4 linked regions of the Alligator mississippiensis genome follow. The protein of the gene in region 2 interacts with the protein of the main gene of each other region in a pairwise test. Links are inferred from orthologs where the notes say so. Each region holds a gene or a part of one and is shown on either strand. Other genes may lie near its edges.

The links.
Region 1: the proteins of SATB1 (region 2) and PIAS3 interact in a two-hybrid assay, tested with the Homo sapiens proteins (2 studies listed by BioGRID and IntAct). The link is inferred for Alligator mississippiensis from reciprocal best matches to the Homo sapiens genes SATB1 and PIAS3.
Region 3: the proteins of SATB1 (region 2) and PIAS4 interact in a two-hybrid assay, tested with the Homo sapiens proteins (2 studies listed by BioGRID and IntAct). The link is inferred for Alligator mississippiensis from reciprocal best matches to the Homo sapiens genes SATB1 and PIAS4.
Region 4: the proteins of SATB1 (region 2) and TOPORS interact in a two-hybrid assay, tested with the Homo sapiens proteins (2 studies listed by BioGRID and IntAct). The link is inferred for Alligator mississippiensis from reciprocal best matches to the Homo sapiens genes SATB1 and TOPORS.

The regions. Positions count from the first base shown.
Region 1 is NC_081838.1:17,651,692-17,659,183, forward strand, and holds the start of PIAS3 (E3 SUMO-protein ligase PIAS3), read left to right. Parts: upstream 1-4,235; 5' UTR 4,236-4,250; coding exon 4,251-4,562; intron 4,563-5,231; exon of another isoform or gene 5,232-5,310; coding exon of another isoform or gene 5,311-5,334; intron 5,335-5,867; exon of another isoform or gene 5,868-6,091; coding exon of another isoform or gene 6,092-6,106; intron 6,107-7,492. Other genes in the region: ANKRD35 (ankyrin repeat domain-containing protein 35), read left to right, coding at 206-364. UniProt on the Homo sapiens protein: Functions as an E3-type small ubiquitin-like modifier (SUMO) ligase, stabilizing the interaction between UBE2I and the substrate, and as a SUMO-tethering factor.
Region 2 is NC_081828.1:151,601,434-151,609,440, forward strand, and holds the start of SATB1 (DNA-binding protein SATB1), read left to right. Parts: upstream 1-4,615; 5' UTR 4,616-5,041; coding exon of another isoform or gene 5,042-5,045; intron 5,046-5,259; exon of another isoform or gene 5,260-5,617; intron 5,618-8,007. UniProt on the Homo sapiens protein: Crucial silencing factor contributing to the initiation of X inactivation mediated by Xist RNA that occurs during embryogenesis and in lymphoma.
Region 3 is NC_081839.1:5,585,691-5,593,812, reverse strand, and holds the start of PIAS4 (E3 SUMO-protein ligase PIAS4), read left to right. Parts: upstream 1-4,905; 5' UTR 4,906-4,985; coding exon 4,986-5,012; intron 5,013-8,122.
Region 4 is NC_081826.1:167,090,808-167,098,956, forward strand, and holds the start of TOPORS (E3 ubiquitin-protein ligase Topors), read left to right. Parts: upstream 1-4,932; coding exon 4,933-5,091; intron 5,092-5,107; exon of another isoform or gene 5,108-5,297; intron 5,298-5,372; exon of another isoform or gene 5,373-5,481; coding exon of another isoform or gene 5,482-5,493; intron 5,494-8,149. Other genes in the region: NDUFB6 (NADH dehydrogenase [ubiquinone] 1 beta subcomplex subunit 6), read left to right, coding at 1,298-1,366; tigger transposable element-derived protein 4, read right to left, coding at 2,039-3,583. UniProt on the Homo sapiens protein: Functions as an E3 ubiquitin-protein ligase and as an E3 SUMO1-protein ligase. Probable tumor suppressor involved in cell growth, cell proliferation and apoptosis that regulates p53/TP53 stability through ubiquitin-dependent degradation.

The sequences.
Region 1 (7,492 bases), on a different chromosome or scaffold from region 2:
CGGGCGGCTCGGTAGGGAGCACTCTCTCCCCTTGCTCCGTGCTGCCCCAGGGGCCTAGTCCATGCTCCAAATCGCCCTGCGCTAAATAAGCCGACTTCGATCCCATCTCGTCCGACCGGAGCATCGTTCTCACTGCGTGCGCTGGGTCTGTCTTGCCTGCGGTCCTGGACAGTGCGACCCATACCCTGTCTCTCCCTGTCGACAGTTCCCGCTGCAGCCTCCCCCGGTCCCTGCAGCACAGCTTGCCTGTGGCCACCAGCTGTCGAACTCGCAATACCCCTCGATGCTGAGCGACGTGGGAAGGCGCTGGGTTGCAACCCTCCCATGGCAGCTGCGGGTTGGGCCTGCGTCCTGGAAGCAATGATCTTGCGCAAGGATCTGGCTCGTGTCTCAGGATCAGGACTCTCACCCCATGTGGAAAGAGACTTGTACCCCTAGGATACTGAAGCAGCGATTGCTCGCCTCTGGGTTTGCTTTGATCTCTGCCTCCCAGGGCACCGGGGATCTAGCCAAGAGACATCTACAAGACCTGAGATGTCACAGGGTCTGCTCCCTGCCATGTGAACTGCCATCATGATAACAGCTGCTAAGACAGCCTGGCAGCGTGGGGGGGGACAGGGACCCAGGACACCTGGCTCTTCTTGCCCTCGCAGTGTGCCCGAAGCCATGTCCTGTGCCTCTCTGGGCCTCAGTTTCCCTCTGTGTATCTTGTCTATGTCAAGTGTGGGTCCTGTGGGGGGATTTTTTCTGGCCATGTGTGTTTTTTTTACATGCCCACCACCCAGGGGGGCCCAATCTTGCTTCTGAGGGTCTCCAGATGCTGCCTTAAATCCACTAAGAAATAATCTGGAAAAGAAACAAAAGCCCAAATCTTCTCTGCTGGGCTGAATCAGCCTCACTGCCCCAGAGTCAGGCTGGACTTGACAGGTCTTCCCCAGCACTGGAGCTGGCCCTGGGTCTTTCCCTTTCATGTCTAACATAGTCATTAAAGTGCTGCAAAACTGCATTCACCTCTTTGGACATTTTGATTTCCCTCGGGGGTACTCCAGACAGACCTCATGGCCTTCTACTTGTGAAATTCACGGTCGTTGTCATCAGCCCGGGGTGGGTGGTATAGGACACCTTCCCTGATCACTGCTGAGAGCGGAGAAGGGGCTCCCTATGCCCCGTCCTGGGTAGTGCTATGATATGCATGGTGGCCTATAGCAAGGAAACAATTGCATTAAGAGCCTGGCATCACCCCAGCATAAAACAGAGTTGCACCAGTTCGGATGTCCCAGGGGCAGAGACTGCCTCTGCATCTCAGATCTGTGCAGCACCTAGCATCAGGGGTTCCTGGTACTGCCATAGGATGGGTCACAGTGATTCAGCTCGAGCTGTGGTTTACTGGGTGAGCTTATCCTGGTTCAGTGTTTGGATGTGTTGGTGCTGGGGGTTAGCCTCTCCGGGTTCAGCTCATCCCTCTGCTGCCAGTTTTCTGCTTCATGCCCTGATGCAGGGGCTGCCAGCCAGCTTGGAGCTGGGCCCCGGACCACAGGCGGGTTCCTGCCTGGTTGCCTCCTGGTGCCAAGTGTCTGGATGGCAACGGCAGGATGGGCATCACCAGCGAGGTGCTCACTGTCTCCCCAAAGCTGGGCATGGGAGGACAAGGCAGCCTGTGCTGGTGGGGCTGGATCCCCCACCTGCACCCCCAGCCCGTCTGCTGCTCCTGGGCCCCATGGCAAGCTGAGTGAGGGATGCTGGCAGCAGGCAGTTTGTCCATCGCCCCACAATGCACCGCACAAGCGACTGTTTCCATAGAGAAAAGGAGGAGTGTGCAGGCTTTTGTTGTCCGCTCAGTTAGGGAGCAGAGAGAAATCGCAGTGCTCTGGGTTTTACCTTCCCAACCGTGTACGGATGGAAGCAGATGCATGCCCCACTACACTGGCATAACATATATGGGGGTAGTTTTACAGCAGATTTTTCCCAGGGTAGCTTTACTCCAGCTTCTGGGTCCTTACACTGGTGCATTGGTTCACATCATCCCCCCACCCATCGCTTCTACTGGTGTAATCATGCCTAGTGTTCAAACCCAGGAGAGCGGGGAAGTGACTCACCAAAGGTCCCTTAGCAAGTCGGTAGCACAGCAAAGGTCAGGTGCTATGATCCGCGGTCTCATCCAGCGCTAAGCCTGCTGATTGATTCCCATTCAGAACAGGCAGTGGGAAACAGCCCATGGCTGAACACTGTTAAGCTGAGAAGAAGTGGGGAAATTATTCCTAACATCTTCAAAGGGGCCTGTGGACAATCTGGAGTAAAGGCATTTAAAACTAAAGACAGTCCAAGCCTGTTCTGAAATAATCATTATTGTCCTTATGCCCTTGTTCGCACCCACAGAAGTAAAGTGCGCAGTCTTTATATGCAGCTGTCACCTCCAGGGTCCCAAACCCTGTGCAATTAGTCTTAAAACCACAGGATTTTTTAACAAAGATTCATGTTCGGTGCTTCTTATTTGCCTGCTGTTTTGGATTCCTTCGGGCATCACGTTTCCATCCATTGGCCAGTGACAGTAGCACGCTGAGTTTCTGTTAGAGGTGCAAACACCAAATAATTCAAGCTGCCAACAATGAGGTGTGAGCTCTGTTCCCCAGAGAGGTAAACTGAGGCATGGCAAGACTGGGGTGAGCAGAGGATGCAGGGTCTTCTTGACCCAGACTATGAAGACATGGACTCTTGAGTGAATGGGCTGGAGGAGGAAGGAAACCAGCTTTGGGGAGAGAAAGTAGATGGCTGCAAACCTTGTCTCAAACAGCACCTTGCAAACCCTGGCAGATTCACATCAACTCAGGAGAGAGGTCTCCGGCTGCAAGATTGACCTTTCCTGCTTCCGTGTGGTGAGCGTCAGTGCTGATGGCAAGCACTGTTTCTGGGAACCAGCATGGACTGGACAGTGGACTGGAAGCACTGGGCATACCTGCCTCTGTGTCGGACCTGTGTATCACAACCCCTTCTGAGCCTCAGTTTCCCCTCCCACTCCAGGGCTCTTCATATTGTAAGCTTCTTGGGAGAGAGGCCGTTTTGTACGTACAGCACCTTGCAAAGCAGGTCCTTGTCTTTGTGGGGCAGGTAGGTTGTGCTGTACTTCAACCAATGAGCACAACACCATGGCTTTCCAACTAGCATCACTGCCGAAGTAACATAGCTAAGATTAGAAAGGCTATTTGTGCTAATACATACTAGCAGCATGTATTGCTAACTGCAGATAGCATCTCCCTGTGACGAGCATAGCCCCTATTTGCTATGAGCTCTAACAAGAAAGATGAGAGAATGAACAAGGCCCCCAGCTGCTACCCTTGCTAATACCCTCTGTATCCCACCCTTCCTCCCCCTTCTTCTTCCCTTCCTACCTTCTTTTCTTTCTCTTTCAGGGTCCTGGCATTTGAGAGGCTGGGCACTTGCTAACTATGCTTGACTGTGCTAGCAGCAGCTATCAACCATCAGTTCGGGGGTGGAAGCCAGTAGTTTTGCTAATCCAGATGCCTCCATAGTCTTTGAGGCCTAGAATATTAACTCCAGCCTGCTGGCAGCTACTTGGCCCGTTAATACTCAAGTGCCATTAACTAGTAGTAACATTGTGTCCAAGTGCTCTACTAGTGTTCCTGGTTAATAGGAATCAATACCTAAAGCTGAAAGTAATTAATACTCCAAGTGTCTACTCAGGACTGGCATGGCAGCAGCCGCTATCTAGGAATAATGGCAACTCTCAAGTCATTTAGTGCTACGAGATCCCGTGCTCTCTGCCACCAGCGACTCGGCAATGCTTTTAGCCGGACGGAGAGCACGTGGCAGCCTCCAGACAGCGCTTCTACCGTGTGTTCGGCTGCAAGATGGATCCCAGATGGCCTGAAACCGTAGCCAGCGCAGTATTTGCTGTACCTTATGGCTGCATTTTAATGCCAGATGCTGTTTGGGACAAGTAACCTGTTGGCTTCAACCTCCCTCTGATCCTGCTCGTGGGGGGATTATGCTGCGTGTCTAATAGACCAGCTTGGGCTGATCTTGATCAAACGGGGACCTGCCGACTGTCCCTGCGGTCACTGATTTCAGTGCTTTTATTGTTTCCCTCCCCAGAGAATGGTTAGAAACGTCTGGACCACATTTGTACAGAGGTGTGGTCTGCGTAGACGCTGCTTTTCCTTTGACTCCGCGGTTTTTGTTTCTCTTAGAGACGCTGGCGGGGACCCCAATCGGAGCAATGCAACGTGTATCTGATGGGTTGGGGGCTTCATCAAACTTTCTCTGCTGGGCATCTCTACCCCGCTGCTCCCGGGAACCCCCATCTCACCCGGCACTCACAGCAACGGCCACTGCCTTTGGGTGTCCGCACCTCCGGGGAGCCAGCGGCCCAGATCCAAGCGCGGTACGGCCTGCCGTGCTCACCACCGTCGCACCTGGGGCTGGGGAGGACGCGGCACGCACGCCGGAGGGCTCCTTGGATAGCCCAGAGACCACTTAGCTGTTTCCTTTTGACACGTGCACATTTTAAATTCCTTCTGGCTTGTTTTGCCCGTGGGCGAAACCAGGTGAGGCAGCAAGGGCTGGAAGGGATGGGGACAGCCGGGTCCTTAGGGCTAATCACTGGGCACTTGTCCCTGGTAAGAAGTCACGGGTGGGGGTGCTGGTACCCGATGCTCGGGTCAGGGCAGGGCTGGGGGCGGCAGCAGCGAGACTGGGGCTGCTCCTGGTTCATGCTAAGGTTTGATCTTAATGGCAGCTCATGTGTGGGTTGGGGGGTCTCTCATGCCCCTGCTCGTACTCAGAGTTGGAGGTACCTAATACCCTGCTAATGCTGAGGGCTGGGGTCTCTACCCCCTGCTAATACCCAGGACTGGGGGTCTCCAGTACCATTAATACCCAGGGCTGGGGTCTCTAATACTCTTGTTAATACTCAGGGCTGGGGTCTCTGATACCCCTGCTAATACTCAGGAATGGGAGGGGCGTCTTTAATACTCTTGTTACTACCCAGGGCTGCGGGGGTCTCTAATACCCAGGTCTAGGAGTATCTAATACTCAGGACTGTGACTGGGTGGGGGGGGGGTCTCTAATACTCGTCACCCCCCGGACGCGCGTATCCACTGCCCGGGGCTGGCGGTGCTGCGTGCGGCGGGGCGCGCGGTGCGGAGTTTAGCGCCGCTCCCTGGGCCCGGGCCCCGCCCCCAGCTCGCGCCCCGCCCCGCCCCGCCCCTCCCCACCCCCCCGCTCTGCGGCTGCCGCCGGGCGCGGAGTTTTGCCCGGTCCCTGGCGCGCGCCGCTCGGCGACGATGTCTCAAGATGGCGGAGGCGGCCGAGCTGAAGGTAGCGCCCCCCCCTCCCCCCGCCACACACCCACACCCACACCCCCGGGGTGGGGGGGGAGTCATGGTGGACTGAGGGTGGGGGGGCCATGACGGGGAGGGGGGCTGTGGAGATCTGTGATGGGGGGCTTGGTGGGGGAGGGGCCGGCATTGGGGAGAGCCGTGATGGGGGTGGAAGTGTGGGGGAGGGGTTGGGGGAGGAGGTGGTGAGGTGGGGTGGGGGGGGTCAGGGGCAGGTGTGGGGGTGCGCGCAGGCAGGTGCTGGGGGGCCGCAGCGGCCCGCGGGGGTTAGGGCAGGGCATGGCAGGGGCGGGGAGGGGCACGCAGCCGTACGTACGAGGCTGGTTGAGAGCAGTGGAGCCGGGGCAGCCCAGGGGTTGGGTCAGGGGACGGTGCGGTGGAGGCAGGAGGACAGGCAGGGTGCCCGTCCCCAGGGCTGGGGGGATCTGCCATCTCGGGTAGGGCTGAGAGCTGGGCGGGGGGCTGGGGCTGGGGGGAGCAGGGGTTGCAGCAGTGTGAGGACGATGCTGGGGAGGCAGCAAGGGGCAGCCCCGCTGGGGGGTCGAGCTGCACTCCCCCCACGGGGAGCGGGGACGTGGCTCCCCGCCGAGCCGGGGCAGGCTCTGGCCGGGGCGCGGCGTGCGATGTGGTCGCCCTGCCTGACGCTCGGCTGCAGCGTCTCCCTCCACTCCTTCTTTTTCTCTTTCTTGTTTATAGGAGTCAGAGTGTAACCACCTTTGCCCACCAGACTGTGGAATATGAAATTGCCCCTGGTAACTAATCCAGAGCTGATTGGGGTCCGCGCTGGCGGTTGATATTGTTTCCCACAGACTAGCATGTAGCCAGCTCCAGTCGCCTGCCCCAAGGCTGGCGACACACGGACGCTTAGGACCAGAGCAGGGATCTCATTCTCTACAGCTCGTGCTCCTCTGCGGTCTTCCCAGCATTGACCCATCCCCTTTTGATAGTCACTGAGGGGCTTGATTTCCACCCCCCCCCCCAAGAAAACTCTTAATGACTTCAGTGTGACTGTCTGGTTAATGTCAAAATATTCACGATCAACCTGAACCCAGGACTTAGGGCTGCAAAATTCCAGCTCCCTCCAGGATTCCTGCTGTAAAGGACCTGGGAGATTTGCCCCCCGTCCCAGAGGCTAGGTGGTTATCCAAAGGCCCGACGTCCACAAACTCGGATGCATAGCATGTGCTGATTAGGGGCCCTGATTCTGCCCAGGTTTCTGGGCATGTGGGTGATACCGCTGGACTCAACAGGGCTGTTCGGGTGCGTGCGTTAAGCACATGCATAAATCTGCAGATCAGGCTTGTAGCTAGCAAATAAGATATACTGCAAAACAGCATATGCAGAGGGGGAGGCGGGTGGAACATGCCTGGCATCTCATGCCGTACTCCTCCTGCACATAAATCACTGAAAAATAGATGTAGCTTAGCACTAGGTTGTGGATTCTCTAAGGTTTGGAGAGTCCTGAATGGTCTCCCAGGTTTCAGAGTGTCTTTTGGACCCTGAATTCTTCTGAATTCCCTTGTCCACTTCCTCTACCCCTTTCTGGTTTCCTAGCCAGTGGTTAGCTTCAGATTTTCACCATCTGGCTCTCATTGTAAAAGAAAGAGGAGCCAACTGGAAGTGAAACGATTTCTTCCTATAAAGTCTGGAGTGGGTTTGGACACCTTCCTTTATTTAAATGACCAACAATGACTCCTCTGGAAAGAGAAATGCTGGGAGCTTGTAACCTTTCATCGTGCTACAGTCGTGCATCCAGGCTGTTCAGCCCGGATTCGAGGGGTGTGAGGATCATTCACTAGACATGCCTCGGGTGTCCTCCGGGAGCTCTCGATTGGGATCTCTCATGGCCGTGAGAGTTTTTCCTCTGCTGTGCTACAATTGTGTGACCAGTAACTGGAGAAGGTTTAGGTGTAGATAGGAGCCCACAATGTCACAGTGGTGGTGACACAGTCGCTCTGTGTCATATGAGTACAGGTGGATTGTAAAACATAAATGTCAGTCTTGTGCTGGTGAGCCGCAGGATGCCGGTTTCTCTGGACATTCACGGGTGAGGGTGATGGGTGAGGGTTGTGTTTGGGCTCCACAAATGGGCCAGTCCTTGGGGGTGCCTGCCACTATCAGCAGAGGTGATTTTAAGG
Region 2 (8,007 bases):
TAAATAAAGTGTTCTTTCCACATCACGAGCCTCATTAAAATACTACCAGCAGCTCATTTGCTGCTTCAGGCACTAGCTACAGCTGTGAGAGGGTTAACACAAGACTCCACCCGTTCAGTTTGCCAAACACACAAACTGCAGCCATCTTGGCAGCTGCATGGCATGCAGTGTCTCTCCACGCAGGCTCCTTTTCCAGCAAAGGAAACAGCTCAGCTGCTTAAAACATGAGCCCCAATTTTAAGGGGCTGAGTTTGGGAGGAGGTGCATGTTGTATGTGAGAAAATATGGTACCTCTTCTGGCTCATTTGACTGTCTCATTTCACACCTCAGAGGCTGGGGAAGAAGTGGAGGTGCAGGGAGAGGACTGCATGAATGCGCATGCCCAGATTCGACTCTCATTTTCTCACCGGCTTTATTTATACGTGCATCTAAATACCTGACAGCAGCCTGTACACACTTAACTGAGGATCTACTGGTTTATCACATCTAAAATGGCATGCCTATATCTGTATGTCCTCAGATTTGTCATAAGAGAGTACTAAGACGGGGTACAGATTGACCTAAAGTACTTTGGCAAACGCATGCTATTATGAATTACCCCTTCTGAAAAATAGAATTAAAGAAAAATATTTTACGTTAAGTTCCTTCTGACTTCAATAATTTCTACTTAGTCTCCGTCAGATAGGTGATCAATAGGAAACTTTTTGAATACACATATTTATACACATCTTTCATGAAAAAAAATCCCATAACACTCAGGGGTATTGTGGACTTCTGACAGTCCCCAGAGAACTCTGAATCCATAAACTAATGAATGGATTACTATGATTCATAAGCCATTTTCATCTGTGACAGATAATCTTGCTCCAATACCATTAGTATTATTTAAACCAGAACTGCACCCCCTTTCCCTCAAATCAGCAGTTTCAAATTTCAAAAGATAAAATGTGGCTGTCAACATGAATAAACTGATAAATATATATGAACATCTGATTTGTGCTGTCTTGAAATTCCAGACTTCAGGGATGAGCAAGACAAGTAGAATATTCTGGTAGTTTTTGCAGGACACTTGGCAGGAGAACATTGGAAAATGGACACTAAAATTTCCTTTTGCAGCATGTATAAAAGCAACATGTCAGTGAAATGAAAGTTATATCGTACACCTGCTTTTTAGGCATGCCATCTGTGCTCTGTCATATCATAATATAGCAGTGTAATGGCACAGCCTCGATGACATGCCACAGATAAAGAGAATGCAACGTACCTCTTGCTCCATTGATGTGAATGACAAGACTCTGTAAAGGTTGCTGCCTAATATTGCAAAGAATAATATTCAAATATATTATATAGTGTTAGTCTTCTGTTTTTCATTATTTACCATATTATAAATATCATAATATCTTCAGCATCAGATGATTAGGTTGCTTCTGAAGGATCTCTAACCTGCTATACAGGTCAAATTAGTACATACCTCTTACAGACCACAGGATGATTTTGCAAACCTATTTGTACTAAAGTTATACTCAAGCTGACAATCTAACCATTACATTTTATTGGTCCATATGTCTGTCATGATAATAGAAATTGTTTAGGATAATTCAAGGGTTCACATAACCTGTTCTGCTGATCCAAAGAGTTTCAAATGTTAAAAATTTCAACATTTCTTGCAAACCAACAGGCATCCTTTTCAACCTTTTAATTAAAGCTGAACAGCAGTTCAATCCTTGTACCAGTTACTTATCTTGGCCTACAAACCACCAGTCATCTGCAGACCACATTTTGGGAACCACTGCAATAATTAACAAAAAGTTCAGTTTGAAATGATGATATGAAAGATAATCTTTCAGAACAAATCCTAGTAAGCATCAGATACTGCTTTTCCCACCTCATTTTTTTTTTGTCAAGCAAGAGAATCACCATCTCAGTGGTTCTCAAGCTTTTTAGACTCAAAGTACCCCTCAGAAAAATGTCAGCTCTTAGTTTTCGCTCCGTTTTGTGACTAGAAAAATAATACAGCAATTCTTCTGCTACAAAGAACTTGGAGCAGAACAGCTCCCATTGGATTCCTATTTGCAATCCTGAGGTTTATCTTGTGAATTATGTTTGCGCCTAACAAAGCTAAAGCTGCAGGGTTCCCCACAGCACCCTTGAAAGGATTTCACAGCACGCCTGTGGAAAATCATTGCATTAATCCTTTCTGTATGTTGAAGACACCTAGAATGAAAAGTACTTAAAATCTTACACAAAAAGTAAGGTAACAATGATCTTCTGACATGTTCATCTGCAAGTGCTTTCACAGCTATATGTAGCCAAGATATACTTGGACATACCTGCTCATGAAAGTGAAAACATCTTGGAGCAAGTCTTTACCATTACAGCAGAGATGTAAATGTTGGTAAGTGATTTCTTGTTTCAAAAGCAAACTGTCTGACTGCAGAGTTGGGGGTCTGTTGCAAAAGCCACCCAGTTTAACTTTACATAGTTATCAATATCGTGTACAAGGACACAAGCTCTAAAGATCCTCGTTTTCACACACACACACACACACACACACCTCTGTTACTAAAATAACAAGAAAATGTGTATATCACAACTCTCTCTTAAGATAATGCTCAGGAGGAAATCAAATCTAAACTGGGAATCAGTCAACTCCTCAATTCTAATCTCTGCATCTGACTCAATCTATGGCCGCAGACAAATAGTTTACGCTTTCTGTTCCACTTTTTCACGTGCATTTGGTGGATAGGTCAACGGGAAGTTACATGGATTCATTATTTGATTACCAGTATTCTGAAGACATGAAACGCTATCATCATTTGGATCCTCTGACAGTGGTTAACATAAGTGAAGGAGATGTTTAATAAAGAGAAAATGTGCCACACATGGAGCGCTTATCGGACAATCATCTCCAAGAAGCATCTGAATGAGTCTGTAGAAGTGCAAAAATGCTCTCTGCTTTGGCTCTCTTTATATTATCCTGTAATGTAACAAAAGATTTCAAAAGCCAAATTTCCAAGGTAAAAAACAGGGGGGGGGAACAGATCTTGCATTTAAGGTGAAGATAAGGGGATAACTTCAGCCCTTGTTTATGTCCTATATGAATGGGAATCTCCAATAGTCACTACGAGATGCTGGCAAGGTCAATTTTATTAATTATTACTACTATTGTGTAATCTTTGGGCTCCGTGTTCTCTCCCGATTAATGATTATTTACTAATGGTGTTACAAGCTTACAGCTTCTCCTAGCAATAAGCAAGACGGGTAACAGGTCAGTGTAGTAGGGACTTGTTAAGGAAAGATACCTCTGTGTAAACACGATGGTCTCTGTCATTTTGGAGACTTTCCCTATGCCCGAAGAAGGGCGTTTGTGCCCAAAAGCATGCCAAGAGCAATTTCTCTTTAGTTGGTCTAATAAAAGATTGCGCATCTACCCAAAGACCCTTGTCTGCCTATTTCAGAGATGGCATAGTTCTGTTCGTTTCTGAGCTGAAAGATCAAATTGTTAACCAAGTAAAAATAAAGGAAGCGAGTAGATTTGAGGGTCAGAGTCCCCCAGCATGCTCTTTTCACAAGCTTCTAGAGTAAAAGAGACATGTTTCAGCTTTCAGGAAAGCCAGTATTCACTGCCAGCTTCACTTTCCGGGAACTTGACTTACAAACGGTGCATCAGCTAAGAAAGGAAGGAAGGTGGTGGGGGAAGAAAAGTCTCTCTCCAGGCAGCAGTTGCATGGATGAGAGCATTCAGGCACCAAAAGTTATTTCAGGGCACTCTGTGCAAGCTCAAACACCACTTAAGAGATGGGGAGAATGAAAAGTGGCTTCTAAAAAATACTGAAAAATTGCTTCAGCGGGCTTAGAGTTGCAGGGGTACAGCTCGTGGCAAGAGCCTAACAAGTGAAATCTTTGCAAGGAGAGGAAAAAAACCAAACAAACCCCCAAAACAACAAAACCCACGAGCAAGCAAACAGAAACACAATCCGAGACCCATGCCCCCGCCCCCAAAGGAAGCAGGGGGCTACCAGCTGTCGGGTTCATCCACGCGGGTCTGCGAGCCTTCCCCGGGCGGCTGCTTCCCGCACAAGTTTCCCGGCCCCGGCCCGGATCCTCCCAGTATCGATAACCTTTGTCATGGCCCTTTCGGAGCCTGTTCCGCTCGCTCCTCCCGCCCGGGGTTGGGAGGGGGGAAGCAGCTGACAGCCGAGCATGTGGTGGATAAATATTGAAAGAAAGTGCGCCGGAGGGAGGGAGAAAGTGCCGCGGAAGGGGGGGAGCAGAGAGAAGCGGCGGGGCTGGGGCGCTGCTGGGAGCGAGCAGGGCGGGAAGGGAAGGGAAGGGAAGGGAAGGGGGAATAATAGCATGAAACCCCACCGCCACCAGCCCAACAACAACAGTGATTAGCTCCTACCCACCTCGCCGGGGCTGGGAGGGGATTGTGTGTGTCTCTCACCTGACTTCCTACTTCACGGGGAGGGAGGGGGGGAGAGGCAGAGCCGCGCACACCCGCCGCTCTCCCCAAGTCAGCCCCCAAAACACGCCGGGCAGGAAGCCGGCGGGAGGGGACAGACAGACAGACAGACAGACGGGCGGGCGGGAGGGCACCAACCGTCCTGCTGCTGCTGCTCCGGCCGAGCCCGGCTCTGGCTGCGGCCGCGCGCCGAGGGAGGAGAGCGGCGGCGGCGGCGGCGGCGGCTCCGGCTCCGGCTCCAGCGCAGGCAACCTCCGCCAGGGGGAGAGGCGAGGCGAGGCGAGGCGCTGAGCCCCCCGCGCCCGGGGCTCCCGGCCCCCCGCCCCGGGGCCGCATCCAGCCGGGCCGCCGCCGGCTCCTCCTGCGCGGCGGGCGGTGTAGCAGCGGGGGCGGGCGGGCGCGTGCGGCTCCCCCCCTTCCTCCTCCTCCCTCCCCCACACCCCCCCCGCTCGCCTTCCTTTAAACGCCCACTGCGGATGGGTGCGAAGCCAACTTGAACTTCAGTGCAATTAAGTTCGCCGGCGCCCGGGAAGCCGACGGTGTCGCCCAGCCTGGCCCGCGCTGCGCTGCGCTCCCATGAGTGAGTGGCCCTTGCCGGGGCCGGGGCCGGGGGTATCCCGCACCTGCCGGGCCGGAGGCGCCGGGCCGGGGGGAAGCGCGACTTGCCTCCAAAGTTTGGCAAAGTTGTCGGGGAGGGCTCGGGCCGGGCAGCGGGGTGGTCCCGGGGCAGCCGTCAATTTGCCGCCGGCGGCCCCGTGGCAAAGCCTCCTTCTAGCATCCCTCGTCCTCCGGCTGCCCTGCGCCGCGGGGGATTTTTTTTGTGTTTTTTCTTTGCCCCTCCTAAAATATATATTACAAAAGGAGCTGGCGATGCTTTGTTCCCACCGGCCGCTTTGGGAGCGAAGCCTTTGCTCAGTGGCCGGGGGGGAGGTCCTGCCCGGTGCCTCCCAAGTTGTCCCAGCTTGGCCCCTGCGAGTGCTGGGGGAGAGCCTTGGACCGCCGCAAACTTGGCTTGACGCGTTGGCCCCCAGCTCGTCAGTGGCAAGGAGTGACGAGGGGGTGGGGGCAAGAATGAGCAGTCAGCTGCATTCAGTCCATCTGCTGGGAAAGGGATCCACCACAGTTTGAGATCCCAGGACTCTCAAGGTGCAGGTAGGTGGGAGAGGAGCAGCCCTGCTTTAGGCTGCTCCATATGACAAGGGGGGGTGACTTTTTTTTTAGCAGCGGTTCTTTCCACTTTCTGTTCTTTGGGTCTAGGCAGGTTCATCGACTTGTCTGCTCCAGGCTGCTGGCAAACATTCGCGTGCAAGCTTACATTTAAAAAAAATTTTTTTTGACAAATGTGCAGACAGGACTAGCAGGAATAGGCATCTGAAATATTAAACAACCTAAGCATCTGTTGTGAAACAAATTTAATGTATTTACTCTGTTTTCTTTCTCGCGTTGTAGGGAAAGGTTACAAGAAGCGTAAAAATTGAAACCAGAGTTGAAGGGAATGGGTTGCATGTTTCAGGATCTCCTTAAGGGTTTCACACAGTCACCAGAGATAAAGGTGTTAACTCAGACGCCTTATTTCAAAACACAACTTGAAACAGGCTGCGTTCAGTGCGAAGGCAGGAATATAGTATAGCGCCTATCATTTGTATCATACTGTTACTATTACTCCACTGTGTTCGTGTGGATGAGGTTATTTGTATGACAGTCCTAAATTGCTATACACAGTTGTATTTTTTTAATGTTAACATATCTCTGTAGTTCTTATTCTTATTAGTTTGCTTACCAAGTGGAGGCAACGTCTCATTATCTATTGGCTATGACTATATAAGTAAAAAGCAAGCAACAAGATAACGCCTGCATGCAGGTTTATAACATATAACAAACAGCATGCATATGGATATAAAATAAGGTGATGTAACAAAAATAAAATCATTGTCTACGCTTGTACCCACTCCTGAATACATTAGCTAATGAAAGAGAAATCACTGACTCCAAGGAATTCCTCTTTGCCCTGTAATAAGAGTAGTCTAAGTTAAAGAAGAACACAGAAGCATAAAGTCTCCAGAAAGCCTGTATAGTTATTTTGGGAATCAATGCATTCCTTCTCTTTTTCCCACAAGTTCAAATATGTAATAAATAATAGTTCTTTGTATGCAAAATGAGTTTACTGAGGCAAAAATATTTAAATGGAATGCATGTTGTCCATACACTTTTAAGAAGTAACAGTTCCTTTCTATATTCTTTGTTATTGATTTTTAAATAGCAAAGTAACTATCTAAAAGAGTTTCCCCAGCTCTTCTCTTGTCATTTTAGCTTCTAAAACAAGTCCTTAAATACTGCTTTTTTCTGAGACAGACGTATGAAACAGGTGAAGTAAGCCTGTGATTCCATGACAGCACATAGTGCTTTGCAAGAATAGGGAAAACGGAGAATCTGCCAAATCAGCCAAAGCATGTATTTGAATGTGATGTAGAAATCATTTTGGTCTGACAGATCATGGTTTGCAGTGTAGGCCCTGGAGGTCAGCTGACAAACACCTGTCCTTATTATTATAGAGATCTTTTGGTTACAGATAGTATTAAACTAAAGACAGTGTGCTCTCTTCAAAGCACCATAGTGATTCTCTAATGTAAACTCCCAAGTGGGATGTAGGCAGGTGCACCTCTTCAAACCAGAGAAGTGTCCGTCTTCTGTGCAGTTAAACCTTGAATAACCACTAACTTCTGTTACGTTACTGTTTCAGTTGGAAAAGGGTTTGAAATCATATGACTTCGGTTCATTCCATCTTGAATTAATATCCAGTATTCTTCAAAAAAAAAAAAAAAATTTAACTATATGAACTAGTTGTTTCTTAAAAATATCCTGTTGACCCAGTTTCTTAACTGAAAACAATAAGATTTAACTCACAGTCCTCCTTAGGCACTTTAGTTATATTTGGAGAATTAGTCAAAGAGGTTACTGTGTTTTAATAAAACTAATATAAAAATATAAAGATCATCTTCTGAATCTGCACTAAAGAAAAAACTATAATTGAAGGTATACTTTTGAATAAAAAATCACAAAAAAGTGATTTTCCCCTCCCCCCCAAATTTTTTTTTCATCCTGTTTCTAGGGACGATGCTAGATACTGCTAGCACAGATACTACTGCAGCATTTTATCACCCTCTTGTGCATACCTGGCATTGCTCTCTCTATATTTAATAAATATCCACTGGAACCACAACTTTCCATCTAGAACAGTTTTAAACATAACTAGAGCATTTTACTTCCTTATAATTTACGTTAATAGATGACGAGTGTATGTACAATCTCCTTAGAAATCATTTTTTTTCCAAAGGGGATATTTTATTTTCAGTTGGGAACTAGATTATAAGAACAAAATAACTCAAAGCATAGGCAATTCTATATATCATTTTATTTTTTATTATATTATGACGATTGTATGATGCCTTCATTAAGAGCAATGGGATGAAGAAATTACAGACAAGCGGGTGTGTTTTACTTGAAACATTTAAAGTTTAGGGATGCTAAAATGAATGTTTTTG
Region 3 (8,122 bases), on a different chromosome or scaffold from region 2:
ATGGGGCTCTTTACCCTGGAAAAGTGCAGGCTCAGGGGCAATTTGATGGCCACCTATAAGTTTATCAGGGGTGACCACCAGTGTCTGGGGGAACGTCTGTTCACCAGAGCGCCCCAAGGGATGATGAGGTTGAACAGTTATAAACTACTGCAAAACCGTTTCAGGCTGGACATAAGGAAGAACTTCTTTACTGTCCAAGCCCCCAAGGTCTGGAATAGCCTGCCATCAGAGGTGGTTCAAGCACCTACATTGGACACCTTCAAGAGAAATTTGGATGCTTATCTTGCTGGGATCCTATGACCCCAGCTGACTTCCTGCCCCTCGGGCAGGGGGCTGGACTTGATGCTCTTCCAAGGTCCCTTCCAGCCCTAACGTCGATGAAATCTATTCCAGAAGACTCCCCAAGCTTGCATGTAGGAGACAGCAAGTAACTTCATGTATGGACAAGTCCTATGGAAGAAATAAAAGGTTACATTTTACAAGGGTGATTAGTCCTCATCATTTCAAAACTTTGACTGATTGACAGTCGCAGTCAGGAGGGAATCCCTCTGTTTTAGAGCTGTGCAATTGGATGGATGCATTTTGCAATGTAAAGAGCTGGAAGATTCACGGACTAATGGTACTGTAGTAAAAATGTGGATTTTGTTCGTTCTTGGAAAAGTGTATTTTTTCACTCTTCCATAGCTCATATATATAAATGGGAGAGTGAAACAACATGCTTTTCCAAGAGTGTACCATATGCTTTCTGTATACAATTGTACACAATTGTACTTTCCATATATTGTACAGCCTCTGGCTTCTTTACTTTTCATTCCATCTAGGAAGAGCACACACCAACTGCTGAACTTCCTCAGCCTGACAAAGGGTTTTTGAACCTGAAAGCTTGCTTAAAAATTGTTTTCCAACTATTTAAGTTGGTCTAATAAAAGATATCAGATTCACCCAAAGAACCTTGTCTGCTAATATACTTTCCAAAAGTAAACACAATCTCCATTTTTTTCAACAAAGAACAACAGCAAAAATGGATAATATTTGATTCTGGAAACAACTGTGGCCATGGTCAGAGAAATATTTTTCAAAAGTGCCTAGGTCACATTTTCCAAAATAACCAAGGCTCTTGAAGTCAGCCTAGTGAATACATTTAGACACCTAGATTTGTAGATGGGCACTAAATGGCACTTTAAAAAACACCTGCTCCCCAGATCCTCCCAGGTATTATTTATTATTTTATTTGGCAGACAAGGTTCTTTGGGTGAATCTGATATCCTTTATTAGACCAACTATTAAATAGTTGGAAACTATTTAAGTTGGTCTAATAAAAGCTATCAGATTCACCCAAAGAACCTGGTCTGCCTATGTCCGTAGACCAACACGGCTACAACCTACACCCTTATTCTACTTAAGCATTTATCACTCCTTGATTTCAGCTAGCGGATCTTAGGGGCCCAAACATTTGGAAGATCTCGGTTGAGTCATCTGAATTCCATTGACACTAACGTGTTTTTTGGGTTGTTTTTTTTTGTAATTTCCACTTGGCATCTATGTGGATCTTTATGTCTTTTATAAATCTAGCTCTGAAGGGTAGAAGTGAGACTCCAGCTTCAAATTTTTAAGGCAAAGGGGCACATAACTGAAGCAAACTATTCTCTTAAATGCACAGGTGACTTGAAAAACAGATCACAGGATTCCCTGCCTGCCCCAAAGCCTTCTATTCTGGGATCCTACAGCAATACAAGCTCATTGTCCCACCCTAGGTACCTGTGAAGAACGGAGATAACACCTTTTCCCAAGGCAGTTGGGGATAATTGAGTTAATTGCCATTAAGTGTGCATGCCTTAAGGACTGAGCCTGCTGCCTGTTTTTATGCAGAGTTAAAGCCTGGGCCAAACAGCTCCAAGATAAACTGGGCTCCGTTTTTTAGCCTAAGGTTCCTAAGTCACTTTGACACTTACAACATTGTTTCCCGTGATCTTTCGAAAGGCACAAATAGTCCTTAGGTGCACAACTCCTGTTGATTTTCATGGCGGTTTTGCTACTTTGTCCCTCAGAAAAATCCCCTCCCCAAACAGTCCTCAAGTCCAAAAATTATGAAAAGGGATCTAGGGCCCTATTCCTTTGCAGAGGTTTCTAAGCCCACTGATGTGCATACTGTAAACTACATCTGTCATCTCGTCAGAATTGGGGCCCATGTCGGTTACTTGAGTTTTGAAAGATTATAGTAGAAACTACCCAGTACTTCTGAAAATCTGTGAGATCTGAGGAAGAACATCTTGCATCTGAAAGTTTGTCTCACTTTATCCCAACTACGTAGTTTGCCCAATAAAAGATATCATCCTAAGAAAACCTTGCCTCTCGCATAATGTCTGGACCATCAGGGTTACAAAAATCACTCTTATGCTACTTTGAAAATCAGGTTATTTATCGAGGTGCCAAATATGGATGTAGGAATCAAACTTTGTGAAAATCTTGACCAACAAATACTAGATAGCACCTTTGCCTAGTTTACTGGGTTGCCACCTCTTACTGTTTTATTCTAGGATGACAAAATATTGGTCATGCCTTTTAATTCCTGCCCCTGGAAACAAAGGATTACTTGAAAATCTGATCTTTCATTTTTAAAGAGAAGTTTCTAGTTCTTGTGTTATAAAAGACTAAAAATATTAACTGATTGTACCTTAACATGTAGAAATCAAAATGAGAACCAAAAAAAAAAGAGTCCCAAATAGTTTTACAACATTTTTAGGTACTCTTATGGTATTTTGGGTCTTGAATAATGATTTTTGCTTGCATAGGGCTGGCAAGGCTGTGTTGGAATCCAAACCTTTTGAAGCAAATATATACATTTGAAATCTGCCTTCAACCTATGCTCAAGAGAAAGGTTCCTAAAAGGAAAAGATATAAAAGACTTGTGCGATTTTATACTTCTCTTTGGGTTTTTGGAGGGGGGTTTTTGCTTACTTTGTTAATATATTTAAATCAAAGGCCAACCAACTTTGAAGATAGATAGATAAAATATCTATCTATCTATCTATCTATCTATCTATCTATCTATCTATCTATCTATCTCTTGCACCTCCTATAGTTTATCTATCTATCTATCTATCTATCTATCTATCTATCTATCTATCTAATAGGGGTTTTGCTGCCATGGCAGAGCTGTGAGTGTGAAGTGTTATGCAAAAACCTGTATCTCTGCCTGTGGTTGTTACTCTTAGACACAGTGATATAACCACACCACCAAAGCACTTCAGCCCCTTGAAGCTAATGCCGACAGCCCTGTGGGGTAAGGCGGGTTTTTAAAATTAATGTTCATTCAGATGATCACAAGACGTTTGAGGGTCACACTTATGATTTTTGAAACTCTGGGGTCGCCGGTGCTAAGGCCTGCACCACCAGGACAGCAAGTCCCAGAAAGTCAGGACAATGCCGGCTAGCAGAGCTTGAGAGGGCAAATCTGAGGATCTAAATTTAGCATCTTCCTGACTGCAACTCCAGCTGAGTCATAGGACATCATTTGCTTTGTATCTGTTTCCATCTTGCCATATGGGTAAGGCTCATTAACATCCCTGGTGCCAAAGCCCAGGGTGTGTCAGCTGGAACAGAAGCAGGTCCATGGACCCTTTCTTCTTTCGGGGCTCTGCCCCAGGGGGCTGGGTCAGACCTTCCTGAGCCATGGGTGTCTGTGGGAGGACTTCAAAGTACAGATCCCCACTAGAAGGGAGGAGATAGCAGCAGCTGCATATTACCCTTCCTCCCCTCATCAGCCCTGGCAGAGCCTGTTCCACTTCCCAGGGATAGGCGGAGACTGGAAGGTTTTCCTTGGATAACTATGGTGGGCAACGGTGGGATCTCCTCCTCCTCCTCCTCCTCTCGGCTACTATGGAGAATCTTCAGGGGAAAGATACAGGCTCAGATCAGCCTGGGCCTCGTTGCAGGGCCAGGGTATCAAGCTCCTACGGAGCCAATCTGCCACGCGGTCAGTCGCGGGCACAGCCAGGACGCGCAAGGCCGGGGTGAGGACGGCTCCGGCCTCCCTGGGAATCTGCCAAGTTTATGGGATGCTCCCACAAGACACTTCATTCAGCTCAGGACTCGTGGTAGAGGCGATACCTCTTATTAGACCAGCTAGATTTTTGCAAAACAGTTTCTCGGATTGCAAGCTTTCGGGCGCAAGCACCCTTCATCGGGCGTCAGAGAAGAGGTTGGAAAAGCTCTGGATAGAGATGAAAGTTTCTTTCCTGGGTAGATGTGGAAGATCATAATCCCACAGGACACTAAAGCGGGTCAAAGCCCAGTCCCCAGGTGGGTAAGTAGGGTGGTGCGGGTGGGTTGGTAGGTGCGGGGGTGGGTGGGCATGCGTGCAGGGGTGTGCGTGGGTGTGTGCAGGTGTAGGTGTGTACTCCCGGGAATGACAGAAATCCAGCCCATCGTGGCGAACGATCCCAACTCCCTTTCTCCCGCAAGTTGGATCATCTCTGGAGCCCGACGGGCAGCTCGCACATGTCAAGCAAGCAGGATTTGGCCTTGTTCCCTCAAAGGACACCCTGCACCCATGAACCCACGCGGTTGGGAGCGATTCCAAAGATGCATCCCTTTGCCTTCGCCCTGAACCTGAGGACTGATGCTATACCCCGAATACAGCAAAGGAAGCACAGCACTTTACTGCGGACTATGCTCCTTCCACCCCGTGCTCGCACCTCCCCGCCCCTGGTTGCACGTGGGCTGGGCGTGAGCCCCGCTCCCTCCCTATCCCCGCCGCGCTCGGCCCCTTTAAGAGCCCGCGGCTGTCACAGGCGGAGGGGGCGGGTTTTTGGCTGCAGGCGGCGCCGGCAGGCGGCTGCACTGCGCCTGCGCCCGTGGCTGGGGCGGGAGCGAGGCTGCGAGAGTGCGCTCTGATTGGCCGCGCTTGCCCCCCTCGCCCCGCCCCGCCCCGCCGCTCACGTGACCCGGCGGCGGCTCCCGGCGCGGTGGACGCTGGAAACAAGATGGCGGCGGAGCTGGTGGAGGCGAAAGTGAGTGAGCGCCCCCCCTCCCCCCCCTCTCCCACGGGCGGCGGCGGCGGCCCGGGGCTGGGCCGGGAGCGGGGCGGCGGGGCCCGGCTCCGCCCCAGCGCGCCCGGACCCTCCCCCGGCAGCCGGCCGTGCCCCGGGGTCCTGCCCGGCCGCGCCCCCGCGGGCCGCACCTCGCCCGCCGCTCCCGGGGGACCCCCGCGCAGCCCGGGACCTCCCGCCCCGGCCCCCGCTCCTTCCCTCCTCCCTCTGCCCCGCCGCCTGCCCCTGGGGTCGCCCCGGCCCTCCCTCCCCCTCCCTCGGCTCGCGGGGCTGCGAGGGGCACCGGCCCCAAGCGATGGCGGGCAGCGTCCTCCGCTGGAAAGGCTTTTGGCGCAAGTTGCGAGGAGCTGTCCAAATACCTCCCGGCGCACAAATTCACAGCCGAACACTCCCGCTCCGCGGATGGTTTTGCTGAGGTCCGCGTCGAAGGCCGGGGAAGCTTTCGGGGATGAGCGTGCGGCGCCGGACGGTGTCGAGGGTCCCGGCGACCTTTGCATTTCAATGGAGGGGCTTTCAAAACGCGTCTAGTTTTCCAGAGCATCCCGTATATATAGTCTTGTGTGTATATATATAAGGGATGCTCTGTCTCGTATATAGCACCCAGCTCTTCTTTGTGGTCCAGCCCCACTGTGCAATACCCTGGGGTGTCTGAAGTGGGTGAACGCACCCGGGGATGAGCTCGAAGGCAAAGCTTCCTGTCAAATCGCCGCTCCTACCCGGCGACGGCCGAAGGTGCTTGGCGTACGGCCGGGTTAGGCTGGAAGGAAGGAATTCGCCTGCCCGGGGCAGCTGAGGGTTCGCGGCGCTGCCTGAGACGTGGCAGGATTGAAAAGTGGCAAAAGGATTGAAGGACGGATGCCGGTGGTTTGATCCCGCTGTTCTTCTGATGGGAGGCACCGTGGACACGTTGGTCATCGAAGGTGCGCGGGGGTGACGTGTGAGCCAAGCCGTCTTTCCTGCCCAGATGATCTTGTGAGGTCTCTTCCAGCCCTAAACTTGTGTGAATCTGTGGGCTTGGCAGACTGGAACTTGCCATCTTCTGCGCCCCTCGCCCACACGACCTCCTAGTTTATGGGAAAGCCTGCATCTGCATTGATATTGAAATAACCTCGTTAGCTAACGAAACCTGTATTTGTACCCGCTCCTTGATGAGTGAGTGACCCAAGCGTCTAGTGATTTGTTTTTCTCTGTGCCTAAATGTTTTGGGTTTTTTTTATTGGTCAAAAATCATGGTTGTGTTTTTTAAGACTTGAAACGCTTCTAAATATAAACTGCGTAAATGTAAACTGTTTTATGCTCCTGATGCCCCAAGTGATCTGAAGGCAAGAACAGTAAGTGCAGCAATAGCTTTTTTTGGAGGTGTTTTTGACTCTCTTGCAGTAGACATCTCACAGTCTTTAACGTTTCTTTATCTTAACTCTGCGGGGTGGCAAAGTCCTATTTTTTTCCATGCTGCAGACGAAGAACAGAAGCACAGAGACCAAATGACTCATCCCGAGCTACACAGCAGCTCTGTAGTGAAGCAGGGAAATGAACCCAGGTTTCCCAAGTCTTAAGACAAGTGTTCAAGCAACTGAACTTTCTCCAAAGCCCTTTCCCCCTTGCCAGAAGAAATTCCAGAACATCTCGGCTACCCGGCGTCTCAGTCCAGCCAGTGAGTTTGAGTTCTGTGTCCTCTTCAGTGAACCAGGAAGTTAGAGGCTTTCATAGTAAACTGAGAAAAATAAAATAATGTTAGGCCTTTCTGGGCTGAATACTACTTCCCACAAATAAACATGGCAAGTGAACGTTTTTGGTCTTACTTCATTTTTTTTAGTTTAAAATTAGTTTGTCCCTCTTCAGAGAATCACAAGAATACTGCTATCAACTGGTTTGCGTAGATTAATCTGACTTCAGATGGAAAGATCATTACTGGCTCTCCGATTTCACCTTCTGCTGTAGAATACTGTGTATAAAACACAAAGTACATTGAAGTGATAAATGTAGGTGCCCGCGAAACATTTTCAAGGCAGTTTGCATTTATCGGAAATGCACTTCATCGGTTCACCCTGAACACTTGTGACATTGTTTTTGGTAGTCAGGAGGGTCAGAATGATCAATCTCTGAATCTAAGCATTACTTTTAATTTAAAAAGCTCTTATTCTTATGCAGATAAGCTTTCCAATGTAGACAGATGCAATGTTGTCTTCCTGAATCTGTGAACAGGTATAGGCTCTCTGAACTTCCACAAGCATGAGAAGCTGAAATTGAGGAGATTGGCTAGTTTTAAATGGTCTTGAAAACCTTGGGTCTGCCTTAACTTAATGGTTTTATGGTGCTCCATTAGAACAGTAGCGAGGCAGGCACTGGGCCTGGTCATAGGGGTGGCTGGGCATGGGCCAGAGAAGCAAGTAGTCCCTTGGCATCCTTGCCCATCTGGCAATCTGATAGGCCCTGCTCTCACCCAGAGGATAAGAAGTCCTGGGTGATAAGGAAAGGAACTGTTCCCGTGGGCACAGGAAGACTGAGTAGAAAGGATTCTTTAAAAACATCAGACTGCAGTGACCAGAGACTGCTATGAAGATGAAATATTCAAACAGAGTCCAGAGAATACATCCTGGCAGAAAGAGGGAAGATGCTGAGGATGTCTAGCATCAAGACCTGGGTTTCTGACCAGAGGGTTCCCTGTGAATGTCATTGATGGCCTGGCCTGTCTTCCTACCTCCTGCTCCAAGAAAACCTCTTGAGCATCATCCTGTGGCTTGTTAGCATTTCAGTTCTAAAACAGGCATATGTGAGAATTCTCCTGCACATGCAGGCAGTGCTGATAACACTGGGATAGATGTGGCAGAGTCTTAAAACAGGGCGTTCTTCATACAGCCGGGGGAGCACTGTTGCTAGAGCTTCTATCTCCACTACTGACATTAACTGTTGCCTTCGCTTTAATGTAGGATGACATCAAAATACACCCAGACGCAATGGTATTTTTACAAAACGCACACAATTTTCCCAGGTGCCAGGCAGGGAATGAGAGCTATTGGGTAGGGCTAATTCCTTCTTTTGAAAGAAGGAACTAAGCCATGAATATGTAT
Region 4 (8,149 bases), on a different chromosome or scaffold from region 2:
GGTGGGCTGCCTGCTGCTGCTGCCGCCTTTCCCCTGAGGCCTCCGCAGCCCAGTGGGTAGGACCTGGTGCAGCAGGGCAGAGCGGAACTGGGTAACTCCTTGCTGCTGCAAGCTCCGCACCACCCTGGCAAGGTGCCCCCTGCCCACCCAGCAGCAGGCGTAGTGGTGCAGAGTTGTGCCCCTCGCTGCTGCCAGGTGGGCATTTCATTTTAATCATGGATTTGGGGTTTTTCAATCAGAGAGTGCATTTTTATCAGAGAATTTGTGATTTTTAAACAGAAAACCAGGATCCTTGCTTATCACTGACTGTTCCTATGAGCACCATGTTGACTGCTTCTTGGATTTCTCCACAAAGCTTTACATTATGAAGGTTTTCCTTTCTATTCAAGGCAAACAAATCACGGTAGCTGGAGCATTTTCACTCTTTTTATAAGCACAAGCTCCCACTTCACTTCCTGTTACCCATTCTTTAGGATACAGATGAGCTTGGTATGGAATCATAGAGTACTGATTCCGTAGCACCCTTTGGAATGTGTAAAAGCCATGAAACCTGAAAAAAATACTATGAAAAGGTTTTGCTAAGGGGCACTTAGAGAGTTTGAGAGGCTGTCATCTGATATGGGGGCACACCTGGGGCTGTAGAGTGCTTTTGGTCACGTTTAGAGAATATATTGAAATCTAATAGATCAATGAAGTGTAAGCAGGACTTACTCAAGACTGTGTAGTCCCAGGGCCTAGAATGAGTTCCATTTCTAAAAAGATGCCCTTTTTAATGTGTGGTTAGGTTAGCGTGCTTGCACAGCAAAAGGGAAGAACGGCAGAAGGCAGGGTAGATTTTCACTTTATAGACTAGCTAAATCAGAGCTGCGTAACAAGCTTTCACAAGCAGCAGGATCAGTTCATCAGATACTCCATTGTAGCATCTGGTGAAGTAAGTCTGCTGCTTATGAAAGAGTATGCTATGCATCTCTGATTTAGTCTGTCTATAAAGTGCAACTTACTTATCTTCTGCCTGACTTCAAACTAATAACAAAACGACTTTCCTCTGCAAAGGGGAAGAGTGTCTGCGTGTGATATGGAGGGAAATGCACAATATTGTTTGCATGTAAAGTCATGAGAAACTACTTGTCGATGTTTAGTTAAAGAAAATGTGGGCAAAGGATTCAAATTTATTTGAAGAGAATCCATCTAGAACTGACCCAGTATAATGTTTACTTTTTTTCTAGTGTTTGTAATTTAGAAATGCGTGATCAGACCCTTGACAAATATTCATCGTGATCTTTTTTCATTTCATTAGGGTGACACAATTCTAGAGACAGGAGAAGTAGTCCCACCACTGGCAGAAGAAATTAGTGGTCATCACTGAAAGAATGAATGTGATATGATAAGCACTGGCTTTGTCCTTATGCAAGTGCGTTACATATATGTGGATGAACTGTACAATAAAGTCCACTTCCGTGAGATTAACGTGTCATCTTATTTCTTTCTAGGTATGTTTATTATAGAAAAGGCTGTTGTTCTCTCAACTCACCAGTGCATATAGTAGATAGTAATTTCAGGAACCTGCTTATAGGGACAAACTGGTAAAGTAAGATAATGAAAAACTTTTAATAGGAATCTTTGTTCGGAGTTCTTGTCGGGCTAACAAAAAAGTTGAACTTTTTATGTTTTGAGTTAAAAAATACTAAGTGTTTTCAGCTTTTCTGCTAAACAATCTACGTGGTAAAGCTTTGACACAATTATGGTAGTTTTAATAGTTTGAATTGGCAGCAAAACACATGCACCAGACAAACACTTAATCACTTCAAGAGGAGTGACTTAACAATAATGACTAGTTATCCATGAATGACAATCACAGCAAGTGAAACAGTAACTACTGATAATTAGTCACCATTACCTACTGCATTTTGCATGCCATAGTGACATAATAAAAGACTAACTTCAGACATAGTGAAGGAAAAAAATGATACAGAAATGCTTAATGTACAAATGTCTTATTACAAAAATTCAGCGTGTTTGCTATATAATAATCAAATGATTACAGTGGAGTAAAATCAGTCAAACACTTTTGCTTTGTGCTTTTACATGCACTCATTGCCAAAATAGAAGATAATTCTGCAAAGTGGAACAGTTGATCATCTATGTCTTGTTGAGCCAAGAAAAGCTGAAGAGTATCCAATGCTTTGCGAGCATCAGCTGGCTTGACAAGTGGTATAGAGGGCATCTGGATTTCTTCATCACTCACTTCACTGTCATCACTTGCATCATCTCTTTTGCTCTGCACTGCTGCAACAATATCCTCATCAGAGCACTGTTCTGCCACACAGAGAGAGGAATCAAAATTGATATAATCATCTGCTGTGAGAGTTGATGGCCAGATGCCTAAACTCTGAAGCTGTGAGCGCAGTTCATTCATGTTAGATGAGTAGAGTGCTTCAAAGTTAGCTGCTTCTGGTGGTACATGATGCTCTTTGACAAATCCGGCATGACAAAAACAGCTGGCAATTGTGCTTTGCTGCACCAAATTCCAAGCTTGTTTTATGAGCTGAACTGCCATCAAAACATCTGGCTTAAAGCACTCCTTAGCATCCATGGCTAACAAGATCTTGCTCATCAGCAAACGACGATAGTGAGCCTTGAAGGTTTTAATCACACCACTATCCATGGGTTGGCTGTGTGACGTGGTATTAGGAGGTAAGAAGACAACCTGAACAGCCTTCAAGCCACTAATGCTTGCTGGATGAGCTGGACAGTTATCCACAATGAGTGCCACTCTTCTTTTCTGAGTGTGCATCTCTGCATCAAAATCTCGCACAAACTCTTCGAAGACAGCACCAACCATCCAAGCCTTCTTATTTGCAGTGTAATACACAGGGAGACTCTTCACATTTTTGAAACAACATGGGTTCTTTGATTTACCAATCACCAATGGTTTCCTTTTATCACTTCCATCCATATTTGCCATCAGCAGTATGGTTAGGCGCTGTTTGCTATGCTCACCATCAATGCACCTCTTGTCTCTAAAAGCCAGAGTTTTATTTGGTAGCATTTTGTAAAACAGGCCCGTCTCGTCAGCATTGTAAATGTTCTTAGCATCATATTCACGAAGGATAGAAAGCAAGGTTGTGTTTTTCCACAATTGGATGCCCCCAACAGGGATTGTCTTGCCCTCGCCGCAGGCTCGCTTCAGTGAAATAGCATGGCGTGCCTTGAATCTTTCCACCCATCCTTCATTGCAATTAAAATCGGAGATGCCCAGCTGACTGGCAAACTGAACAGCCTTGCAGGCTAGCAAGGGCCCGTTAATAGGAACGTTGTTTGCACAGGCTTGTCGTAACCACTGCACCAGGCAAGCCTCTACATCGCCATTTAACGCTGTACGCATTCTCTTTCGATCTGGACGAAACATTGCTTGGTCAACGGCATCCAAAATCTTTTCCTGGTTTTGCAGCCAGCCATTCAGTGTGGTACGTGGCACACCAAATTCTTTACATACTTGGGCTTTTGATTTACCTTTAGCTATTTCTCGTATGGCGTCTGCTTTCCTGCTCAATGTGGTGCTTCGATATGCCTTACCGCTCATTGTTTCTCTATTCAAATGCTTGGCATCAAGCTGGAATTAGGCCTGGCTGCTGCTTGTCACATGCCTTAAGCTGGTTCCCTCACGAGAGCACTTCAGTTAAATCTGCAATGTGTTCGCAAGGTGGCGGTCAGTTTGATACGCCAAAGATTTATGGAGAGCAAACTACATTGCACCTCTGTATGTGGTGACTGTGGGAAATTCACGGCTTATAGTTTGCACCAGTGACAAAGTAGCTGAAATGCTTTGTGAATAGGAATGGTGAAATGCACTGAAGAACACAAGAGGGACAAGTTTACCTAATGACTAAACTGAACCCAATTCTGCTGCATTAACTTTTCCCCTTAATTTTGATGAACCGTTAGGAAACTATCCCGTTTTCAGAGTACTTTGCTGTTCAGGAGCACATGTCTTGGATCCCTCAGCCGCCCCAGCACCCGATCCGCTCTGGCTGTCATCCTGCCGGCTGCTCTGGGTGCAGCCAAAGTCCAGGCCTGGCCTTTCAAACCTGCTTCTCCCCAAAGGGCAGCTTTTGACTGTGTCTCAGGCCCCCAGGGAAGAACTGACGCGACGGCTGGTTTGAACGGGGGAAAGCTGCCGCAGGCGGGCTGCCTCGCACACGGGTGGGAAACAGCTGCCACCGTCGAGTCGCCTGCCTACCGCGGGGCAGCGCTTGCTCACGGTGGCATCAGTGCAGGGCTGTGCTCTCCCGGGCGGCCTGGGAGGGAGGCTGCAGGTCTCCGCGGGGAGGCGCGGGGCATCCGTCTGCAGCTGCCCCTCCCTCCTGCCCACGGGTCACGGCTGGGCGCGGGCCCGGCGCCCGGCCATGCTCAGGGCAGAGAGGAGTCGCGCTGCAGGCGGCCCTGCGCTGCGCGGCGCGTGGCGTAGATGACGAAGCCCCAGGACAGCAGCACCAGCACCGCCAGCACCTGCGGGAGGACCACACGCGTCAGGCCGCGCCCCGGGGCCCGCCCCCCACGCCGCCCTCCCGGCCCGTACCACGGTGTAGACGCGCTCCAGCTGCCGCGGGCCGAGCGGGGCCATGGTCCCAGCGCTCGGGCGGCGCCTTCCCGCGGGCGGGGCGACACGGGGTCACTATGGCGACCGTCAAGCCCGGGGGGGGGGAGAGCTATAGCGCCGCCATATTTAGTGCGGGCACAGACTAAGTCGAGGTTGGGGTGGCATTGTTCTGCCCGCAGTCAAGATGGCTGCCGCGCGGCGTCACCGGCGCAGCGTGCCCCCTCACCTCCTCCCTGGGGGCGGGGGAGGAGAGCGCGGCTCTCCCCTTCCGTTCCCGGCAGTCCCCGCACCGCTGTCCCGGGCCGGCCCGGGCGGCGGGGGGGGCATCATCCATGTGCGACCCACTGCGCTGCGGCTGCGACGCGCGACGCTGCCTGGGCCGCCGCCGCCTGCGGGTCGGGCCGGGCGCCACGAACCGCGCGCGGGCGGCGCCTGAGGGCGGCGACGGGCGCGGGGCTGCCCCGGGTGGGGCGCGGGGCGGCGGCGGCGCGGTGAGTGCCTGGGCCTGGCGCGGGGTGGCGGCCTCGTCCTTTGTCTGCGCACGGGGCAGGGCGGGGCAGGCCGCGTTGTTCCTTCCTCCTTCCCTCCCCACCCGGCGCCCCCGGGAGGAGCCCGGCTTCGGCGGTTCGGGCCCTACTGCCCGCCCCGCTCCGTGGGGGCCCCTGGTGGTGCCGCCTTCCGTACACCAGCCTCCCAGGTGCGGGTGGAAGTTTCCAGCAGGCGGGTGGGGGCGGGGAGTATCAGGGAGAGTCACAGCAGTGGTCAGGTCCTTCCTGCTTTAGGCTGATGATCAGGGAGGGAGGGAGAAGTCTGGGCTTGGAATCTCCCGACCCTTCCCCCACAGCCTGTGCTTGGGTGAGTTGCAGCCCTGGATCTCGTGCATGCAGGAGAAGGTCAGTCTGAGCCCCTGTTTACAATAGGCTGCTTCTGCACCCAATACTTCTGCCAGCGTTAAACGTCCTTGGTTTTCTGGCGGCTTGCGTGGCTCCATGTAGTAGCTCTGCTGTGTGAGCCTAAAGTGTAACCTGGGCGGCACCAGCTGTAGGAAATTTGCTGGTGGAGGGGTCCCCGTGTACCTGATGGCATCAGAAGCCTTAGCGTGCCCAGCAGAGGTGGGCTCATTCTGCTGGTTCTGCTGCTGCAGAGGAGGTTTGGGTGTGGACATCTGCCTGTAAAGCTTTGTAGCATAGACTAGGCTAGTGGTTTCCAATCTGTGATATGCTAACAGCCTGTCAGTGGTACGCGTTAACAGATCTATTATAATTACTTTATGTGACAAAAAATTGCTGGTGGTACTTAAGGTTGTATCATTTTAAATGGGTGATGCGCAACCTGTCAGAGTTTGGGAACCGCTGGACTAGGCTTCAAGTCATTCCTTTACGTGGGAGTATTTGTGCTCTTTAAGACATGGGGGAAGGAGGACATGGAAGTGGTCACACTTTGTGTTTCATGTAATAGTCTAGTAGGTAAAGAATATGCCTGGAAAATGCTTTCTGTGTCCTCTTCTGGCTGAGGGGGCTCCTAACATTCTCCATATGAGTGGGGGTTAGCAGCCTTTTCTGGTGCCAGGGTGAAATGACCCAGCTCTGATTGAAGTGTTACAACCCAGCTGCCACTTCTCTCTGCTGCCTCACCTTGGCATAGTATGTGCAAAGTGCCTGGCCAGCCAACACAGCACCACCAAAGCTTCCCTGCCCCCAGTGCCCCACTCCATGGGCCAGATTCAGCTTGTGGGCTGTAGGTTGCTTATCTTTGCTAGTGTTTCACAGTGATCAGACAGAGCTAAGCAGGGTAGGAGTAATCTTGCTGAAGATGTATAGCAAGGAATGAAAGACTAAGAACAGGGAGCAAGAGCCAGCATGCTCTGCACTTAGTAATTAGGGTGCACTTCTGAATGTCTTGGCTTACACTGTCTGTTTTTAGGTTTGTTTGTGTATTGGGAAGTGGGAGGCATGGTTTTGAATCTGATCAGGCTGATGAGAGCACAGATTTTCCATATCCCAGGTGGTGGCACCACCACTACCACCTCTTCCCCTGGCAGCCACATTTTTTAAATGTCTGATGTAATGCTCCCAGCTTGTTAGATGTGGTGCTTGGAGCATGCCTCCTCCAGTAAACCTAATTTGTGAATCCAGGCTGGACTTAGGCATGAATCTTACTCAGCCTTGTCCATAGGATGTCAGCTTTAGACTTAGAAGGCATCTGGGCAGCATGGGGGGTGTTGCTGGCAAAGGCTAGCAAAGAATTTAGGCGCTTATGGACTTCTAGATGTCTAAGCAGTTAGGCAAGGGGCTTAACTAGATTGTAGTTTGTTTATTTATTTGCTATGATTTATAGCCTACTGTATCCAAAAGGTTTAGGACTAGGGTACCAGAATTAGTCTCTGTCCCTTTCTGTATCTAGATATATTCATCCCCAACTGAAAATTGGACAGAGGGAGTTGCCTTTGTAGCAGGAATGTGATGTTTGCTGTGCTAGGAGAGGTGTCTGTGGAACAGGATACAAATCTCAGTTTTCATTCAGTTAGCAGAGACTTGGTATCATGTGGCAGCTGAATTGCCTGAGAGACCATGTGTACTGTGTGTGCTACGGCCCAGGGCTGCAACGGTTTAACAGGACTTTCCCTGCAGTTACTGCTCTTAGTTGCTCTGGCACCAGTGCAGGAACTGAAAACAGAGCAGCTGTATTTCTGTGCTGCTCTTGGTGTGTCTAGCTAGTGTGGAGGAGCTGTTGACTGACTCAAATGCAGAGGCTTCAAAGAAATGGACATGGGTCAGCAGTGTGGGAGGGATGGTTTTAAAGATGTGATTGTGGGGTGGGGGCTGGAGTGGAGCTGCAGCCAGTGGCAGGGAAGGGAAGAACGAGGATTGAGATCAGAGTAGCCCTTACACTATGGAGTGCTGACTTCTCTGAAAACTCACTAGGTTGAGGGTCAGCAACCTATGGCCTATGTACTGGATACAGCCTGCAAAGAGACTTTATATGGCTGCCAAGCATGCTGCTGCTTCCCCAGAGCCACAGCAGAATAGGACAGGCAGGACTACTGTGCCTCCCAGCAGTAAGTGGGGTCTTTCTGGAGATCCTTTCCGGATTCCAGCCAGTCCAATTCTGTTCCACAAGAGCTGACGCAGAAAGTTGCTGAGCTCCAGTTGCAGCTTGTTGGGATCAATGAATCCAGTTTAAGAATCAGCAGAACTGTGTGGTGGCAGTATTTGACTTCCTTCCACCTCCTTTCTGCCTGCTACCATCAGCTGCTTGGCCCCTATGTACAGAAGCTGGGTCAGAGGTAGCTGATTGGGCTGTTTTGGGGGACAGCGATTCATTTAGGTGTTTTGGATCACTGTTCTGTTTTGATTTGGCCAAATCTGTTTCAGAGATTTGGATTGGCCGGGGAGAGGCAGGCACAGTGAGGTGACTGCTGGTTCTCCCGTGGCTCCTCTGGCTGTGCCTGCCTCTGCCTCTGTGGGGGAGCTGCAGGAGAAAAAAAAAAAAGCCAATGACACTTTATCGTGCATCAGCAGATGGATGACGAAATAGGTCCAAGGAGGT